2 linked regions of the Xenopus tropicalis genome follow. The main gene of each other region encodes a partner of the protein of the gene in region 2 in a complex. Links are inferred from orthologs where the notes say so. Each region holds a gene or a part of one and is shown on either strand. Other genes may lie near its edges.

Evidence for each region. Proteins that work in one complex are often made in the same cells at the same time.
Region 1: alyref (region 2) and sarnp share a complex: the UniProt entries of both Homo sapiens proteins name them as parts of the transcription/export (TREX) complex. The link is inferred for Xenopus tropicalis from reciprocal best matches to the Homo sapiens genes ALYREF and SARNP.

Annotation. Positions count from the first base shown.
Region 1 is NC_030678.2:138,199,076-138,202,729, forward strand, and holds part of sarnp (SAP domain-containing ribonucleoprotein), read right to left. Parts: intron 1,490-3,654; coding exon 1,438-1,489; intron 926-1,437; coding exon 852-925; intron 555-851; coding exon 526-554; intron 1-525. UniProt on the Homo sapiens protein: Binds both single-stranded and double-stranded DNA with higher affinity for the single-stranded form. Specifically binds to scaffold/matrix attachment region DNA. Also binds single-stranded RNA. Enhances RNA unwinding activity of DDX39A.
Region 2 is NC_030686.2:27,889,782-27,893,529, reverse strand, and holds the end of alyref (THO complex subunit 4), read left to right. Parts: intron 1-470; coding exon 471-602; intron 603-1,155; coding exon 1,156-1,303; intron 1,304-1,384; coding exon 1,385-1,448; intron 1,449-1,990; coding exon 1,991-2,168; intron 2,169-2,913; coding exon 2,914-2,928; 3' UTR 2,929-3,159; downstream 3,160-3,748. UniProt on the Homo sapiens protein: Functions as an mRNA export adapter; component of the transcription/export (TREX) complex which is thought to couple mRNA transcription, processing and nuclear export, and specifically associates with spliced mRNA and not with unspliced pre-mRNA.

The DNA.
Region 1 (3,654 bases), on a different chromosome or scaffold from region 2:
TTTTTTGCAATGGCAGACACAAGCACTATCAAGCAGGAATTATAAGGTCTTATTTTCATTACCAAGCAATCCCCACCAAAAGCACAATCAGGGTTGCCCGGACCAAACCAGAATGTAAAGTGTCTAAGGATTAGGTTTCCTTAAATGTACAAAAACTAAATGTTGGCAATGTTGCAGAGCCAAGTCGTGCATTGGTCAGTTAATGATGTTTCCCTTCTGTAAATAGAAAATGTAATGAGGTGGAAGGGTAACACTGTTTTTATGCTACAAACACTGCGTTCTCTGTAAACAGTATGTCTGGTATCTTCAATATACACTTTTTTTGAACACTTCAATGATGATATGATTTCTAAAAGATTTTTAAGAACTTGTATAATTAGCCTGAAGGAAGGCATTTCACTTTGAATAGGTAAAAAAATAATAAATGCAGCCAATCAGAAACAAGTATACAAGAATCTACTACATATTCTCACATTATTTTGCCCAAGAAATGGTTTAATCATACAGAACACCCAGTTTTCTTACCTTTCTTGTCTGAGGTTGAAAGGCCAAACCTTTAAAAAAAAAAAATTAAGTGTAAGAAAAAAAGATATACGAGACCTATTTCAGTTTAGAATTTTAATATTTCACATCCACTCTAACAGATGTGAAATGTTAGCATTTTTTCTACTTAAAGGGGATGTTCATCTTTAACTTTTAGTATGATGTTGACACTGGACATTCAAACGTGATTTGCAACTGGTATCCATATTTTTTTTTTTTTTTTTACTTGGGCCTGAACAGAAAGATGAGGAATAGAGTAACAATAATAACATGGTAACCTTTGTTTAAATCAGTATTTCAATGCTTACCGGATGGCTCGAGCTGCTTTTTTGCTGTCCACACTGGCAGGAACATTGAACCTCTCAGCTCTTTTTTGAAGCTTCTGTAAAAGCAGAACATTTGTTAATGGTTACGTCCAAAACAGTTGGTGCTACAGACAACTATTAATCAATAAGCTCAGACGTTTAAGGTAATAAATATCAGGCTTGGAAAAAGCAGACATACATACCTTGTTGTTTCTGCCAGTGTAAAATAGCACTACATAGTATCAGCACTTTGTCTGCTGACAGAGAAATGTATTGTATGACACTCAACCTATATACCACCGCCCTTTATATTAAAACTATGGAGGGATTACCACAGACAAATCTGTAGCAGTTGTGTGCTACTTACTAACTGGGTTATCTGTCCAACCTGTGTATAACACAGCTGCACTGTAAATTCCTCCACTGTGCAGAAAACTCTATTAAAAACAAGAACTGTGTTGTGAATCTAACACTTGGTCACATTCAGGGCAGAGGGAGCTCAATAAGTGCTAGCCATACAGGCAGCACTTGGCATATTTAACATATACAGGTAAGCATCACAAAGAAGATGTACACAGATTTTACTTACATCAGTTTCAGAAGCACTGCTGGAAATTTTCACCAGCTTCTTTTCTGCATTTCTGTTGGAATTAAAAAATATATGAATAGCAGCAGGTCAAAGCACTGATAAGACAAAATGGTGTCTTTGTATCGAAAGATCCATCTTTCCTACAAAACACATTGTCTATATATATTTTTTGGAAAAGATAAGTCTTGGATGTAAAGCCACTGATTGACTAAACCTCTCTTTATAGCTGAAATAGACAAATAAAGTTGACATGCATGTAGTAAACCTTAGCTCCAAAACATAGCAACGAAGCCAGATTTGAGAAAGCAAAACATCAATATCAAAGTGTTTATAAGGCAAGTATTACTGCCTCAGAGGCAAACAAGTGTGTTAAATACAAATAAAGTGGACAGTAGATTACAAAAGAAAAACTACACGTGTGAGCTGGAAAAGGGCATAAAAGCACATTTTCTTCCTAGGAAGTTCCCAGGCACTAAAAGGAAAAGAAAAAGAAAGTGAAGTGGTGTCAGCTATTATAAAGCCCTCTCCCATAAAGTGTGGGTCGTAACACCCCCATAAAGGAAGAGTTTCTTGCTCAGGGGGAACGTTACGAGGCTTTTGTTCCCAAATCCTGGAAGCAGCCTTTCCCATGGGACAGTAAAAGATTTAACAACTTTCACAGGAAGCACAATGAGGTCAGAAGACAGGACGTGCTATTCTACTCACCCCAGTGAAGTAAATACCTAGTATATGTTTTAAGACTCATCAAAAGGAATTTTATATGTGCTATTTTCTTTGGGATCAAGTTCAGATAGTTTAACTAAAGGTCAAAAGACAATCAGTCCAGGCAATACTATTTTACTGTGGGACCACCAACGCTGTGGCACTACAATAGATGCATATCCAATATGGTACTTCTGGCACCCTTATACAGGCATGGCAAGCTGCAGCTTTCCATATGTTTCTAAACTATAATTTTCAACATCCTGTCATCAGCCTTGAGGATGCTGGGAGTTGCAGCATGGCACCATCTGGTAGGCTGCAGATTGAATGTGGCTTTAAAGAGGACATCACCCTAAAAAATAATTTTAAGTCCTTATCCATCATGTAGCTGAGCATAATAAGATTTACTTTACACTATATACATTATTAAACTAGGTTTCCTCCTGTCCTGGGGTTCACAATCACAATAAAGAGGCGGTGCCATTTGGCAGTCATACTTTCTAAGCTTAAAGTTATACAACAGATTGGCAAAACTGACGGACAAGGCGCCTCCTGTCACTTGATCTGTAATGCCCCATTGACACACTGACAAGGTACACTGGAACTTTAGTTCAACTGTCTGTAAAAATATCCCCCAGTCCAAGTTACATACATTCCCTTATATTTGTGCAGTATAGTTGATATCAGTCAAGCCACCTGACCAAATCTGGGCATGTACTGACTGCTTCACCTAGATATTTAACAAAAGAAGGGGGTGAGTTAAGGGAAATAACCGTATGCTCAGAAAATGATTCCAAAACTCTTGTCTGCTGAAAAGAAAGTATTTTCAGGGTAAGAAAAACATTTGCGCTGCAGTCTGAATAAAGGATGCTGATCTGATAAGTCTTTGAACAGTCTGTGTACATCCAAGGGGTACTGGCTGATGGGAAACCTTTATATCCCCAACAAAGGTAAATACAGAAAGGGTCCTATTTTCTGTGACTTCTCATTACATTTGATGGTACACTTTAAACTAGCCAAAAGGGAAAATTTACAAAGGTTATAGTAATAGGGGATAAAAGCTCCTGCAGCTATACGATCTTTTACCAAAGCTTGCAAGATGAAGAGGAATTGGCAGTTGTTTAGGATGATGCAGAAGCTCTTTTTTTATTTATTAAAAAAAAACAACTTTTTAACCAATGACTTCTCACTTATCTGTATACTAACTGGTTATAACAATGACAGAAAAGACCATTTCTTAAGCCTATACCTTTCTTTAGTCAGTAGGTACAGAGTGCCATCTTGTGGACAGAAACATGCAAATGTAGTTATTACCATGAATCTCTTGTAGCTCTTGGCATATCCAAGATAGTCCATAAACATCCCCCACTTTAATTTAACCATAACTGGAATTCTAAAGTAAGATGCACATCAGGAAAAAACAAACTACATTTTTAAAAGGTTTAACAAAGTTTATAACTGGTTAGAAATATACTCCCTTGCAAGCTGGGTCCTACCGCCAGACTTCCTGCATGG
Region 2 (3,748 bases):
GATGCTGTCCCCAAACTGACTGCGCCTATTACCGGTGTTCTAATTCGATCGTTTGGCCCCAGGGCCAAATGGCGGATTAGCCTAAATTCCCCCGATATCGCCCACCCGTAGGTCGCCAAGTGAGTGGATCTTAATGTGTACGGCCACCTTAAGATCTCAAAATCTTGTATGAGTGATATGGCAGCAGATCACTGGTGCCTGCTGTGCCCGGTGTCATTGTCCTAAGGCTTTGTAGCATACCTGCATGCAGAGTAATGTTACCTTAGTCCTCTTAGCTGGAGCTGATATCTATCCTAGATGTCTGACTGCACCACCTCTTTTTTTCTCAAGTGTTAACCTCATTACTCTCGTTGTATGGCAGTTGGTAGAGTTTACCTTTTTGAGATCTCTTGGCTTCAGTGTGGGCATTGCGCTACAGGCAGTGTTTTGTGGCTTTTGGATTAATGACGTTTTTGTTTTTTGTTTTACAGCCGAAACAACTCCCTGACAAGTGGCAGCATGATCTGTTCGATAGTGGTTTTGGTACAGGCGCTGGTATGGAGACTGGAGGAAAACTTCTTGTGTCAAATCTTGACTTTGGCGTTTCTGATGCAGATATTCAGGTGAGGAGTCACTGGCTTAATATGCGTGTTTTTTGGGGGAGGGATAGATGGCATTGTCACCCACATAATTGTGCTTCCATAATAAATTTTTCATTGGAATTGCTGCAGATAGAACATTTGAATCTCCTCTTAGCGATAAAATGTAAACAAGGGCCTTCTTGCACAGTGCAAATATTTTAGCTAAAACACGCTCACACCTGAACTTTGTGGTATTTTATATCCTCCACAGAGCACATCTGACCTTTATTACTCAGCTGAGTGTTCACCAATAGCAGGGCATTCCAGGAAGTTTCACTTCTGCTTGAAAACCTGCCTGAAACACAACTTTTTTTTTTTTTTAAGCTCAATCCTATATCCAGAGGAGAGTAACTCACTGGTACATATTTTATAATTTTTATAGGATATGTCTTCAACCATGCAAATGCAAGGAAACTGTATAAAGTTGCAAATAAGTTGGTCACAATCACTGCAGTAATTCAAAAGCTTTTACTGATATGGTTAGGCTGTACTTTCGCTACTCTGCAAATCAGTACATGTGGTGGTTTCTCAACAGGAGCTCTTTGCAGAGTTTGGTACTTTAAAGAAGGCAGCAGTACATTATGACCGATCTGGGCGAAGCTTGGGCACTGCAGATGTGCACTTTGAAAGAAAAGCCGATGCTCTGAAAGCAATGAAGCAGTATAATGGGGTACCACTGGATGGTGAGTTGCTTAACATGGCCAACTATATAAATAAAATACATAATTATCTTGTCTAAAATCAGCCCTCTCCTATTGTTGTAGGTCGGCCCATGAACATTCAGTTGGTCACATCACAGATAGAAGCACAGAGAAGACCTATACAGAGGTAAGGAAAAAAGGTTTATTTAGCTTGGATAATGTATGTTCTTGATATTGTAATTTATACTAGGGCTTGCAGCACACTATATGTTTCCTTTACCTGCAGTGGCTGAACCACTGCTCTTGGCAGACTGCATGAACACAGGATGTATTATGGTGCAGAAATTAATATTTTGGGCTGCTTTGCTGCCAGGCCAGGACAAAAGCACCTGCTGCATACTAATAAATTATAAGGACCATTTAAGCAGATTGTGGTGGAAAGGCTAACTACACAAGGATCAAAGTTAATTTCAGAAACATTTCTAGTTGCATGTGCCTTTAGTTTTGAAAGTAATTTCAATTTTTTTTTTTTTTTAAATAAAACCTTTGCTTGCAATGCAGGGGTTCTGGCTTGTGTCAAGGGCTCTACATCATTCCTTTAAAAAGTCTGCTTTATATTAATAGCTAATATATGCTATTTTAAATTTCACGTTAAGATATACTGCACTATGAGTGAACTTTTCAACCCCAGCACCATTAATGTAGTAGTGTTTTTTTTATATTTTGCAGCCAAAGTAGGGGTGGTGGTATCACTCGGCCACGAGGAGGAGCTATAGGTTTTTCTGGTGCAAACAGGCGTGGCGGCAGAGGTGGAAATCGGGGTCGTGGAAGGGGGGCTGGAAGAAATCCAAAACAGCAGTTGTCAGCAGAAGAGTTGGATGCACAGCTTGATGCTTACAATGCTCGGGTAAGAAACTACAGGATTTACTACCAGTACAAGTTGATATGGGGACTGGTCCGATTGCCATCTTGGAGTCGAAAGAATTTTTTTTTTTTTTTCCCCATTGCAGCAAATTAGAGAGGCTTCAGATGGGTTTTTTTTTTTGCCTTCCTCTGACTGTTACTAATTTTCCAGTAACTACTAAGGGATATTCACAAATGTTAAAGGAGACATATTGGATAAGTGGGGAAAAACCCTAATTTTGTAGGCAATTATGAATAATAAAGTGCTGGTTTCCCTTTGGGCTAAACATTAATCCTATCTGTAAAAATGGCCACTTCCACAATTGCTCTATATAGGGAACTTGAAAATGAAAGCGAGTTCGTGGTAATTTTGCACAGATGTTCATAGTAATTTTGGGCAGATTGTGCAAGAAAATGCAAACCATAGATATTTTTCAAATAGGCAAAAGTGCACAATGAAAGCCCTATTCATTGCACTTATGTTGAGTAATGAATACTTTTTAGGGCATATATAGAATGGTGTGCAAGCCAACATCACCAGAGATGTTGCCCATAGCAGCCAATTAGATCTCTGCTTGTGTTTTCTAACTTGTAGGTGACAAATCTGAATTGCTGACTGGTTGCTATAGGCTACATCTTGGGGGTATATTTGTGTCTAAGCAAATATAACCAAAATTTATAACTAGTGCTTAGTTTGACAACTATTTACAAATGATAAATTCTAAGCATGGTCTTTTTCTCTTCCCCAGATGGACACCAGCTAATCCCTTCTGTCTTGTTCCTGTGATGTTGCTTGCTCTGAAGAAAAATGTCAACAGATGGATTTTTGTTTTGCTTTTATTTCCCATAGGTTTTAAGCTCATGTAAAGTCTTTTTCATTTTTTTTCTTAATTTCTATGTCCGATGCAGACCTGTTTTGTACGGAGTTATTTTGGGACATTTTATTGGTTGAATGTTGATGGTAGGGTGCTCTTCACCTTCCTCTAATAAAAAAAGAAAAAAAATCAATCTGTTATTCAGTTGCTGTTTTTGTGTATGGGATGATTTTTAAACTTTCTCCAGGTGTCCACCATATTTGTGTTCTCTGACCGTGTTTACATGCCTTCTTAAATAGTATTTGCTTTTAAAAATTAGGCTAAATTGTAAAAAAAATGCAAGTCAGATTTAATGGTCACATTTTGCTGCATGGACTTACCAAAATGAGACTTAGTGGGTGATTGGATGTTTAGTTATTAGATGAATTTGGGAAGTGTACATATATTGGGTAATTTGCTATGAGGGTGGTTAAAAGAATATCATCATAGTAGTTCCTATGGAATTTGTAAGTTGAGATCACTGAAGGTGAGAGAACTGGGTACAATCTTTTCTAATTATACTTCTTGCAAACTGCTTTCTCTGGCAATAAAAACATGTGTTCATAACTGGCTGATGTGCATGACTTCCATAAAATCTATTTAACTGTAGATCAGTGTGTTTTTTTTTTTTTTTTTTTTTTTTTTTTAACAAAGGATGTTTGTAGAAAGGTTTCTCCCCTCTTATTCAGGGTCTATTTAAAGATAATGGGACTATTTAAAGTCTTAGGCT